Linked DNA regions of Macaca mulatta. The protein of the gene in region 1 interacts with the protein of each later gene in a pairwise test. Links are inferred from orthologs where the notes say so. Each region holds a gene or a part of one and is shown on either strand. Other genes may lie near its edges.

The links.
Region 2: the proteins of USHBP1 (region 1) and CEP68 interact in binary tests that used the Homo sapiens proteins (3 or more experiments, as listed by UniProt). The two-hybrid records come from large-scale screens. The link is inferred for Macaca mulatta from reciprocal best matches to the Homo sapiens genes USHBP1 and CEP68.

Annotation. Positions count from the first base shown.
Region 1 is NC_133424.1:17,736,006-17,740,750, forward strand, and holds the end of USHBP1 (harmonin-binding protein USHBP1), read right to left. Parts: intron 3,499-4,745; coding exon 3,392-3,498; intron 3,204-3,391; coding exon 3,081-3,203; intron 1,591-3,080; coding exon 1,401-1,590; 3' UTR 1,329-1,400; downstream 1-1,328.
Region 2 is NC_133418.1:59,657,723-59,664,178, forward strand, and holds the start of CEP68 (centrosomal protein of 68 kDa), read right to left. Parts: upstream 3,979-6,456; 5' UTR 3,865-3,978; exon of another isoform or gene 3,861-3,864; intron 1-3,860. UniProt on the Homo sapiens protein: Involved in maintenance of centrosome cohesion, probably as part of a linker structure which prevents centrosome splitting. Required for localization of CDK5RAP2 to the centrosome during interphase. Contributes to CROCC/rootletin filament formation.

The sequences.
Region 1 (4,745 bases):
CCCGCCTTCACCCGCCTTGGCCTCCCAAAATGCTGGGATTACAGGCGTGAGCCACTGTGCCTGGCCCTGTTTTTTTTTTTTTTGAGACGGAGTCTCGCTCTGTCACCCAGGCTGGAGTGCAGTGGCACGATCTCGGCTCACTGCAAGCTCTGCTTCCTGGGTTCATGCCATTCTCCTGCCTCAGCCTCCTGAGTAGCTGGGACTACAGGTGCCTGCCACTGCGCCCGGCTAATTTTGTGTATTTTTAGTAGAGACGGGGTTTCACCGTGTTAGCCAGGATGGTCTCCATCTCCTGACCTCATGATCTGCCCGCCTCAGCTTCCAAAAGTGCTGGGATTACAGGTGTGAGCCACCGCACCCGGCCTGTTTTGTGTTTTTGAGACAAGGTCCTATTCTGTCACCCAGACTGGAGTGCAGTGGCGTGATCTCAGCTCACTGCAATGTCTGCCTCCCGGGTTCAAGCAATTATCCTGCCTCAGCCTCCTTGAGTAGCTGGGACTACAGGCATGCACCACCACACCCAGCTAATTTTTGTATTTTTAGTAGAGACAGGGGTTTTGCCATGTTGGCCAAGCTAGTCTCAATCTCCTGACCTCAGGTGATCCTCCCCGCCTCAGCCTCCCAAAGTGCTGGGATTACAGGCGTGAGTCACCACACCCAGCCTGTTTTGTTTTTTTGAGACAGGGTCTTACTCTGTCACCCAGACTGGAGTGCAGTGGTGTGATCTCAGCTCACTGCAACCTCTGCTTCTCAAGCTCAAGTGATCCTCCCACTTTAGCCTCCTAGATAGCTTTACAGGCACATGCCACCATGCCTGGCTAATTTTTGTATTTTTTTTTTTTTGTAGACATGGGGTTTTACCACGTTGTCCAGGCTGGTCTTGAACTCCTGGGCTCTAGTGATCCACCCACGTTGGCCTCCCAAAGTGCTGGGATTATAGGCGTGCACCACTGCGCCCGGCCCCCTTCAGGAAAATCTGCCAGCCAAACCCAGCATCTCCTTGGGAAGGAGCTGCCAGGAGAAGCTTTGTCCAGTCCCCATGAATCCCTCCCTGGGCTTCAGGAGACAGGCCAGTTGGAACTTCAGCTGTGGCTATGCAACCTCACGGACCTCCAAAATTCGTCAGTCCCAGAGACCTGGTCCCACAGCCCAGGTTGCTTCTGGCCTGACCCCACTGATGTGAAGTTCACATTCCACTTGGTGCCAGGCCAAAGACACCCAAGTCTTTCTGCATTGCGTGGCCACACCCATCAGGCCCTGGACACCCATGTGCACCAGCTTCCCTCATGCCAAATGTGCCCCAACATGCCAAATCATGCAACATGACATGATGTCACTCCAGGATAGTTTATGACATGCCACAGCGGTCTGGCATGTCCAGACATGGCTGGGTAAGGGGCCTACAGAACGGTATCCCCAAGCTGGGGAGGCGGGGGGGGCGGCCTGGGTTTCCCCAGGGCCCTTGCAGTGGCTTCGAGCACCGCCACCTCCTCAGCCTGCTGAGCCTCCATGAGTGCCATCTGCTGCTCCAACTTCCGGCATTGCTCTTCCTGCTTCCGGTGGGCTCCTCGCAAGGCCAGGACCAGGGCGCTGGAAGGGGTGGGTGGGCTGGGTCAAGAAATAGCCCCCGACTCCACCCAAGGCAGGGGCCATGTACTCCCACTCCCAGAATGGGGGCTTTTTCACATTGGGTCTCCCAGGGTCCCAGCTAACTGGTCTTTTTGTTGTTGTTGTTGTTGTTTGAGACAGAATTTCGCTCTTGTCGCCCAGGCTGGAGTGCAATGGTAAGATCTCCCCTCACTACAACCTCTGCCTCCTGGGTTCAAGCAGTGCTCCTGCCTCAGCCTCCCAAGTAGCTGGGATTACAGGTACCCGCCACCATGCCCAGCTAATTTTTTTGTATTTTTTAATAGAGACAGGGTTTCACCATGTTGCCTAGGCTGGTCTTGAACTCCTGACCTCAGGTGATCCGCCTGCCTTGGCCTCCCAAAGTGCTGGGATTACAAGTGTGAGCCACTGTGCCCAGCCTGTTTTTTCTTGTTGTTGTTTTTTTTTTTTTTTTTTTTTTTTTTTTTTTTTTTTTTTGAGACGGAGTCTGGCTCTGTCGCCCAGGCTGGAGTGCAGTGGCTGGATCTCAGCTCACTGCAAGCTCCGCCTCCCGGGTTTGCGCCATTCTCCTGCCTCAGCCTCCCGAGTAGCTGGGACTACAGGCGCCCGCCACCTCGCCCGGCTAGTTTTTTGTATTTTTTTAGTAGAGACGGGGTTTCTCCGTGTTAGCCAGGATGGTCTCGATCTCCTGACCTTGTGATCCGCCCGTCTCGGCCTCCCAAAGTGCTGGGATTACAGGCTTGAGCCACCGCGCCCGGCCTGTTGTTGTTTTTTTGAGATGGAGTTTTGCTCTTGTTGCCCAGGCTGGAGTGCAATGGCCTGATCTTGGCTCACTGCAACCTCTGTCTCCCGGGTTTAAGCGATTCTCCTGCCTCAGCCTACCAAGTAGCTGGGATTACAGGCATGCGCCACCACGCCTGGCTAATTTTGTATTTTTAGTAGAGATGGGGTTTCTCCATGTTGGTCAGGCTGGTCTCGAACTCCCGGCCTCAGGTGATCTGCCCGCCTTGGCCTCCCAAAGTGCTGGGATTTCAGGCATGAGCCACTGTGCCTGGCCCAGCCTGTTGTTTCTTTTTTTGAGACAGAGTCTTGCTCTGTCGCTCAAGCTGGAGTGCAGTGGTGTGATCTCTGCTCACGGCTACCTCCAACTCCTGGGTTTAAGCAATTCTCCTTTCTTCCAAGTAGCTGGAATTACAGGCATGTGCCAAGATGCCCAGCTAATTTTTGTACTTTTAGTAGAGATGGGGTTTCACCACATTGGCCAGGCTGGTCTCAAACTCCTGACCTCAGGTGATCTGCCAGCCTCAGCCTCCCAACATGGGATTACAGGTATGAGCCACTGTGCCTGGCCTTTATTGCCTATTTTGGGGCAGCGGGGAAGGCTAAGGCCCAGAGAGAGCCAGGGATACTTCTGAGATCCTGGTGGGGGATGGTGCCAGGGGGATTGGAGGGATGCAGAACAGGGGTCCCACCTGTGGGCTTTGCATAAATCCCTGTTCAGCTCGGCACTCTGAGACCGTCTGGCTCGCCCCTTCTGAGCCACCCGTTCCAGCTCCCTGCGCAGAGACTGCAGCTGCTCCCGCAGGTCCAGCGTCCTGTTGCGAAGGGGAAGAGGAGGGCTCACAGCCCTAGCCCATCCTATTTCCCACGTCTCCTCCTACCCACCTGCCCACAGTATTGTCATGTAAACACACCTGTACACAGGGGTACACCTTAGCTTCTGCTGCAGACAGCCCCCCCGGGGGCTGTCACATAGGCTGCCCATCCCCACCCAGCCACACACCTGGTGAGCGATGCTGCCAGTTCCTGGGCTAACTTCTCTGGGTCCCAGGCCCTGCCCACCTGGCCACCATCAATGCCACTGGTGCCACCAGGGACAGCAGGAAGGCCCTAAGGGAGAGAGAAGACAACAAAGTGACATTAACCTGGGCCAAGTCCGTGCTTGGCCCTCACTGGACATTGAAGCTGCCCAGACAGTGGCAGCTGCTGTGCTCTCAGAGACCCCCGTCTGGTTCCATACCCCAATAAGAGCGAAATTACACTCTGATAAGGGAAATATCTTATTTAATTTAAAAAAAAAAATTTTTTTTTTTTTTTGAGACAGAGTCTCACTCTGCCACCCAGGCTGGGGTACAGTGGCACGATCTTGGCTGACAGCAACTTCTGCCTCCCAGGTTCAAGCGATTCTCCTGCCTCAGCCTTTCAAGTAGTTGGCATTACAGACATATGCCACCAGACCTGGCTACTGTTTGTATTTTTAGTAGAGACGGGGTTTCACTATGTTGGCCAGGCTGGTCTCGAACCTCATCTCTAAAAATAAAATTTAGGGGCCAGGTGTGGTAGCTCACGCCTGTAATCCCAGAACTTTGGGAGGCCGAGACGGGTGGATCACTTGAAGTCAGGAGTTCAAGACCAGCCTGGCCAACATGGTGAAACTCTGTCTCTACTAAATATACAAAAATTAGCTTGGCATGGTGGCAGACCCCTGTAATCCCAGCTACTCAGGAGGCTAAGACAGGAGAATCGCTTGAACTTGGGAGGCGGAGGTTGCAGTGAGCCGAGATTGTGCCACTGCACTCCAGCCTGGGCAACAGAGCAACACTCCGTCTCTAAATAAATAAATAAATAAATAAACATTTGGGCACGGTGGCAGACGCCTTTAATCCCGGCTACTTGGGAGGCTGAGGCAGAAGAATTGCTTGAATCCGGGAGGCGGAGGCTGCAGTGAGCTAAGACTGTACTATCGCACTCCAGCCTGGGCGACAAGAGCAAAACTCTATCTCAAAAACTAAATAAATAAAGAGAGATGAGGTCTCGCTCTGTGGCCCAGGCTGGAGTGAAATGACGTAATTGTGGCTCGCTGAAGCCTCCAACTCCTGGGTTCAAGTGATTCTCCCACCTCAGCCTCCCCAGTAGCTGGGACCACCCTGCCTGGGTAACCTGATAAGGGAAATAAATAACAGGAAACCTCATCTGAAGTCACTCCAGGAGGGTTTCCTTGAGGAGGTGATGTCTAAGCTGAGATCTACAGGAGGTCAAGGACTTTATGACACAAAGAGGGAAGTTCCTGGCAGGGACACAGAATGTACAAAGGCTTGGAGGTGGGAGAGATGATTCAAAGAGCTGCATTAAGGACA
Region 2 (6,456 bases), on another chromosome or scaffold:
TCAAGAGATACTATTTAGAATGCCACTCACTGTACCATAGCATTCTCTTTGGAGAACCCATGGGAGAATTCTCTGGCCTCAATAACAGAAACAGCTGTCTCCACTCAGCAGACATTTTCACTTTGTAAGTACTGGCAAAACTGATAAAAAAAAATTTCCCTCTGCTTTGGCTGCTACAAAGCTCAGGGCCAAATACACAATCTCACTTGAGTAAAATGCACAGGACAGAGAGGTACTTGCCTTTTTGTGCTAATCTCTCCCTTGACTTTCTCCTATTTTTTTTTTTTCACTCCATGTGCCTCAATTGCTTTTATTAAAAATCCTGTTATATCAAAGTATCTTGGAACAATTCCTCGAATAGTTTTTTTTTGAACAAGATAAATTGTTAAAACAAAAAATAGAAAAAAGCTCCTAAAGCCAAGATTTTATTCCAATACCATAAGAAAATAAAACCCATTTACCCAATACTTCTACAAAGCAAATGTAGATACTCGGGTTAGTACTTCACTATCAAAGTGTGATCCAGCACCAACAGCATCTGCATTACCTCAGAGCTTGTAGGGAATGCAGATTCTCAGGTCCTACCCCAGAACCTTGGAATGAGAACCTGCAGCTTAGCAGTATCTCCAGATAACTTGGTAAGCACAATGTTTCAGAAGCACTGGGTTGGTAAGTAAGGCTGTTTCAGCACCCTGAGAAGGAACAACTAAAATAGCTTTAAAACCATTCCTTGGGTGCCTATATGCCAGTTACACACAAGAAAATTTACGGTCCTTGTCTTCAAGGCCTCTGCAAAAGGACATTAGAAAAGGCTTACACCTTGTGGCAGGTTTTTAATGGCTAATTATAGAATACCACAGCTGGAAGGGAGTCCTCAGAAATAATAATATTCCCTAGAAAGAATTTGAGATTCACGGTGGCTATGTTAAAAACAGAATCACAGACCTGAAATTCTCCTGTGCCAGTTACAGGTGAGAAGGGGAAAGGTATTTGTTCTGGAAACTGGAAATAATTTAAGATAAACTGGTATGCCAAGGGAGCTTACAGCTACAAGGAAATGTGCAACTTAACCTGTTTCCTGTAACCAGAAAGTGGTACAGGAAAACCTGGAAGTGACGCAGTGTCCCCCAAGGGTTGTATCTGACACCTCTAGCTGGCAGACAGGTCTAAAGCCAACAGGAACACTTCTTGGGCTTTTCACAATGTTTGTGAACAACATTAAAGACAGTAGTTTCTTCATGAGAACAAATTTAAGTTATAAGGAGAGTCCACCTCCATAAGCTCTGCTTCTATCTGGATGGATCAACCATGTAAAGATTTTCTGTCAGCCATACGAGGCCCCAATCTATTTGGCTCCTCTGATTTTACATGACCATTTCAGGTACCAGACCCCATTAAGAGTGTATCAGGTACAACTGTAACTCTTGGCCAAACTGCTATTTGGCACCGAATCAATCTTTAGCTGGTGGTGAGACTCCAGACACATAAACAGATAATATTCTATGGAATACTTTCACTGTGGAAAGAGAATCAGCAAAGGCTAAAGAGATGTTTAAAAATCAGCCATCAGGCTGGGCACGGTGGCTCATGCCTGTAATTCCAGCACTTTGGGCGGCTGAGGTGGGCGGATCACCTGAGGTCAGGGGTTCAAGACCAGGCTGGTCAACATGGCGAAACCCTGTCTCTACAAAAAATACAAAAATTAGCGGGACATGGTGGTGGGCGCCTGTAACCCCAGCTACTTGGCAGGCTGAGGCAGGAGAACTGCTCGAACTCGGGAGGAGGAGGTTGCAGTGAGCTGAGATTGTGCCACCGCACTCTAGCCTGGCCAAGAAGAGTGAAACTCCCTCTCAAAAAAAGAAAAAAATCCGCCATCAGATAACGGGCCAGGCACCGTGGCTCATGCCTGTAATCGCTTGAGCCCAGGAGTTCAAACCAGCCTGGGCAATATAGAGAGACATCATCTCTACAACAAAATAGAAAATTAGCTGGGCGTGGTGATGTGCACCTGTGATCCCAGCTACTTGGGAGGCTGAGGTGAGAGGGACTCTTGACTCCAGGAGGCTGAGGTCACAGTGAGTTGAGATCATGACACTGCACTCCAGCCTGGGTGATGGAGTCAGACCCTGTCTCAAAAAAAGGGATCGGATAAGGACCAAAAAGCAGAGAGATCCTGAAAGGTCAAGTACTATACAGATATTTCATATTAGTGAGTGTATTCAAGTATCCATTTATTTTTCTCCTAACAACTGCTAACAGCTAACAGCTACAGATCATTTTCTTTGTGCCAGGAACTATGGTAGGCACTTTACATTAATATCTTATTTAATCCTCATAACCCATCACATAGGTACTATTACTATTCCCATTTTCAGGATGAGGAAACCAAGACACAGAGAAGTTAAATAACTTAATGACATGCCTGTAATCCCAGCACTCTGGGAGGCAGAGGCAGGAGGATTGCTTGAGCCTAGGAGTTTAAGACCAGCCTGGACAACATGGCAAGAACCCCATCACCATTAAAACAAACAAACAAACAAACAAACTTAATCAGAGTTAGTAACATGGCAGAGCTAAAGTCTGTTTGACTTAGAAAGCCTGAGCTTAGCTGCCTTCCTAACCTGTAAGAATAACTGGCTCAAGAAGTTAAATAAATATTTCTGTTGTGTCACCTTTGGGCTACCATGCTGACTTTGTTTCCTTTTGGCTTCCTTCCATCATTGAGTGCCTTTTATGTTCCAAGCATTGTGCTAGGGGCTGGGGAAACCGCAATACAGTGTGATGTGTAAAAATAGAGGTCGGAGAAGGTAGCCCTGAACAGGGAGGAGTTATCAGTCGCAGGGTGAGTAAGTGCCTTCGAAAGCTTTGCAAAAGAGCTTAAACTGAATTCCTTGTTTTTTTTTGTTGTTGTTGTTTTGTTTTCTAAGTGGGCCAGAATTGACTCAACAGAGGGTGGGAAAGGGGAATGGAGTGAACAAAGTAAAAAGTGGTGACTTCTAGATCTTTCAACTAAACCCAAAGCAAACTGACTCAACACCCTTTGTCACGCACTTTAACACAACATTCTCCATACCCTAGATCTGAGGACTGTTAGATTATTTACAAATGCTACCTCCCTTCGTGGTCCTGATGAATTCCCAGGGAGGTCCAATCTGCCCTGGCAGGTTTCCGCTCATTTTTGTTACAAACAATACACTAAACCCAAACTACTAATCATCAAGGGCTGGAACAGGTTTTGGACATTCGTCCCCAGGCTGCTGAGAACTGTTCTAGTGATGACAGTTAGAAAGGGTAGCTCTCCGAGGCAAAAAAAAAAAGAGACATCTAGATTTTTTCGCTCCGCATCTGGGCGCTGCAGCATCCACGGTGATAAGAAGACATCACTGGTCTCCATCTTTCGAGAGGGAAAGGCCCGCGCTGCACTAGTCCCGACTGGGTAGCTGGGTAAACAGCCCACGCTCGGCAGAGGCCTGAGGGAAAGTGACCTCCCCAGGGGCCCAGGACCACCAGCAGCGCAGCTGCTCCGCCACCAGATGCGCGGACTCGCGCGCTCCCTCGCCGCGCCCGGGCACTCCCAAGCCCAGCCGCCCGCCTCGGCCCCGACCCCTCGGCCGCCACAACACACGCTGTTCCGCCCGCAAAATGGAGGCGAAGGCACGAGGCGCCCCCGCCCCCAGGGAGCCTTTGTGCCCTTGCCGGCGGGGACGCGAGGCCAGACGGCCCGCACCGCAAGGGCCCCGCAGGCACCGAAGGGAAGGGGCGGAGGGGGCCGGGCTGCGCGCGCGGATCTAGCCCCGGCCACCGCCCCCAGTGCCGCGGGCACCCCGGACACCAGCACCAGAGCGCGGGACGCTGCCTACCTACCGCACCGCGAACGCTTCGCACATCCGGAACGGCCTCAGCAGCCCCATGCGGTGGCCCCAAGCTGGGGGCCCTGACTGCAACCGCGGCCCTCCAACCGCAGCCCGAAACGCGAAGGGCGGGACCGAGCGCCAACCACGCCCTTCGGACGCGGTGAGCACACCCTTCTTCCCGCCCCTTCTCCCTCCGCGAGAGAGCGTTCGGCAGTGTTGCGCAGCCAATCTCAACCCTCAGCCGGGGCTCGACCAATACGTGGACGCTTCTGCAAGATGAGCCCGCCCCCTACTTCGTCTTGGCCTATGGGAAGCCGGGACTTCTTCAGCTGCTGTCGTCCCTCGTTTTTGGAGCTCCGACCTCAGCTTCGCCTGAGAGCCGGGTTGTGCAAGGGCGGGTCATTCTGGGGCGCTTAAGGGTGGGTGCCGGGGGACGCGCTTTCCCGCATGAAGGTCGCGCCAGGAGTCATGCGTACATTCGTTCATTTTGCTCTGGACGTACTGATGTTTCTACGCGCCGCGCCACGAGGTGGTCCCACCTCCTTTCGCTGTGTTTCTGTTTACATTCGCATCTGCGAGACCCGGCGGCGCGACCGAGGCCCGAACAGGTGCTGTGGGGCGAGGCGGGGAGCCAGTGCCGAGGGGAGCTCCCCAGGCCGGGTGATTGAGGCCAGCTTCGGGGGGAGGTGGAGCTCTGGCTCGCAGAGAATGGGAAGGGTGTGGAAAATGAACTGGGAGCTGCTTAGCGACTCCGAGCTGCCTGCTCTGATGGGAAATTGGTGATGGAGTCAGAGGGAAGTGGGAGGCAGCTTGTGGGAGGCCAGGGTGCACACTCTGTCACCCGCCAGCATGAGACCTAGGAGCTTTCATATATCTCTAACTATCTATCTGTCTATTTTGCAGAGATGGGATCTTGCTGTGTTGCCAAGGCTGGGCTTGAACTGGACTCAGACTGTCCTCCCGCCTCGGCCTCCCAGAGTGCTGGAATTACAGGCGTGAGCCACTCCATCCCGTCCCCTAGGAGCTTAATGACACTGCCCTTTAGCTTTTACTGCTCAGCAGAATCCGGAGGCATAGAGGAACTACCACCTAGCTGGCGTGGGGAAGGAGTCCTCCCTTCTGATGGTTTTCTCTCAGCAGCACTTTCAACAATCTGGCTTCTGCTGAATATCTCCTCAATTCATAAAACAGGTGTCTGTAAATGTCAACCCCAGCTGGGTGCAGGGTACAAATTTTTTCCTGCAGAGCTCTTGAGTCCCAGGTAGTTTAGGAGACAAGGACTTGTTTGGTTTTCCCAGACCTGTCAGGACAGCTCAGAGGTTTTGTCTAACCCACGGGTCACAAACTTTTGACAACAGCAGCATCTAGCCCACAGATGGTTTTATTTGGGCATCACATAGGTTTTCTTTGTTTGTTTGCTTTTGTTTTTTTAATAAGAATTTGAATCCCACCAACACCACTGGTCCATTAAGTAACCGCCAGCCTTCACACATTTGCTGTCTACCCGAAGGGATTGGTGTTTGTGACCCTAGATCTTTTCTATACACAGAAGACCTCCAGTGGAGTCACCTAATCCCACAGCCAAGTCACCCCTGCTGAACAGAGAACTGTACAAAGTCCAAACAGGCATACATATCCTTATGGTTTCCCAATCTATAAGAGAGGGGATAGGATGAAGGATTCCCAAGGTTCCTTTTGGTTCTGACGTTCTGTAATTTTGTGTTGTGAGCAGCTTTTGTTTTTGCCTGATGGGAAAACTTTCCTTTGGGGAATTGTCTGCAGTCCCCTGGATCAGATGGTTCTTTAGCACCACACTTCTCTGGCCTCTCGAGGCAGGATGGGTGTGGAGAAGGGGAGGTGTGGAGCCCAGGCTTGGCCAACTATAGTCTCCCTCCTCTTGTTCTCAGATTTCCCCAGGGATGTGCACATGACCAAACCTAAGATGATCTGAGCCCTTGTCAGGGATTTTAGAGAATGAGGGTGGGAGAAAGAGGCTCTTTCCTCTGGTGTTTCTGAGCATGGGAAAAATAGGCCTGGAGCTGTCTGTAGTTATACTCCTTGCACCAGCAATGCTGGAGAACCAGGTCTGGAAATATTAGGAACCAGCTAAGCCATCCTGCTTTGGTACTCTGATTAGGGTGCATGCCAGCTCCTTTGGTGGTGACATGAATTATTTTTCAACTCTTCTCGCTCAAGATTCAAGTTTTGGGAAGGACCATTTACTAGGCCTAGTCTAGGTTATGTGCCTGCGTTCCAATTGCTAATAGGCAAATAGAGTTCTGGTTTCTCCTGTGGCTTCTAGTCAGGGAGGCCTAGCCTCATAGCAAGACTCAGTGTGTGGGGGCCTCCCCTCAAATGAGAAGAATGAGATGCTGGGTTGCCAAAAGTTGCTCCACTATAGGCCGTCTCTTAGGCTGCCCAGCGTTCACAGAAGTGCTTTCAAAGGTAAATGAAAATGCTGCCATCCAACAAAATGCGAGGATCTCTCCTACAACAGAATTTACTTATCCCTTCCCCAAAGCAGGGCATCTCAAAATCTCCTCGTTTATTGTATTTGGCCGAAGTCCAACTTCTGTTAAGTGATGTTCCATTCTTCCTTTCA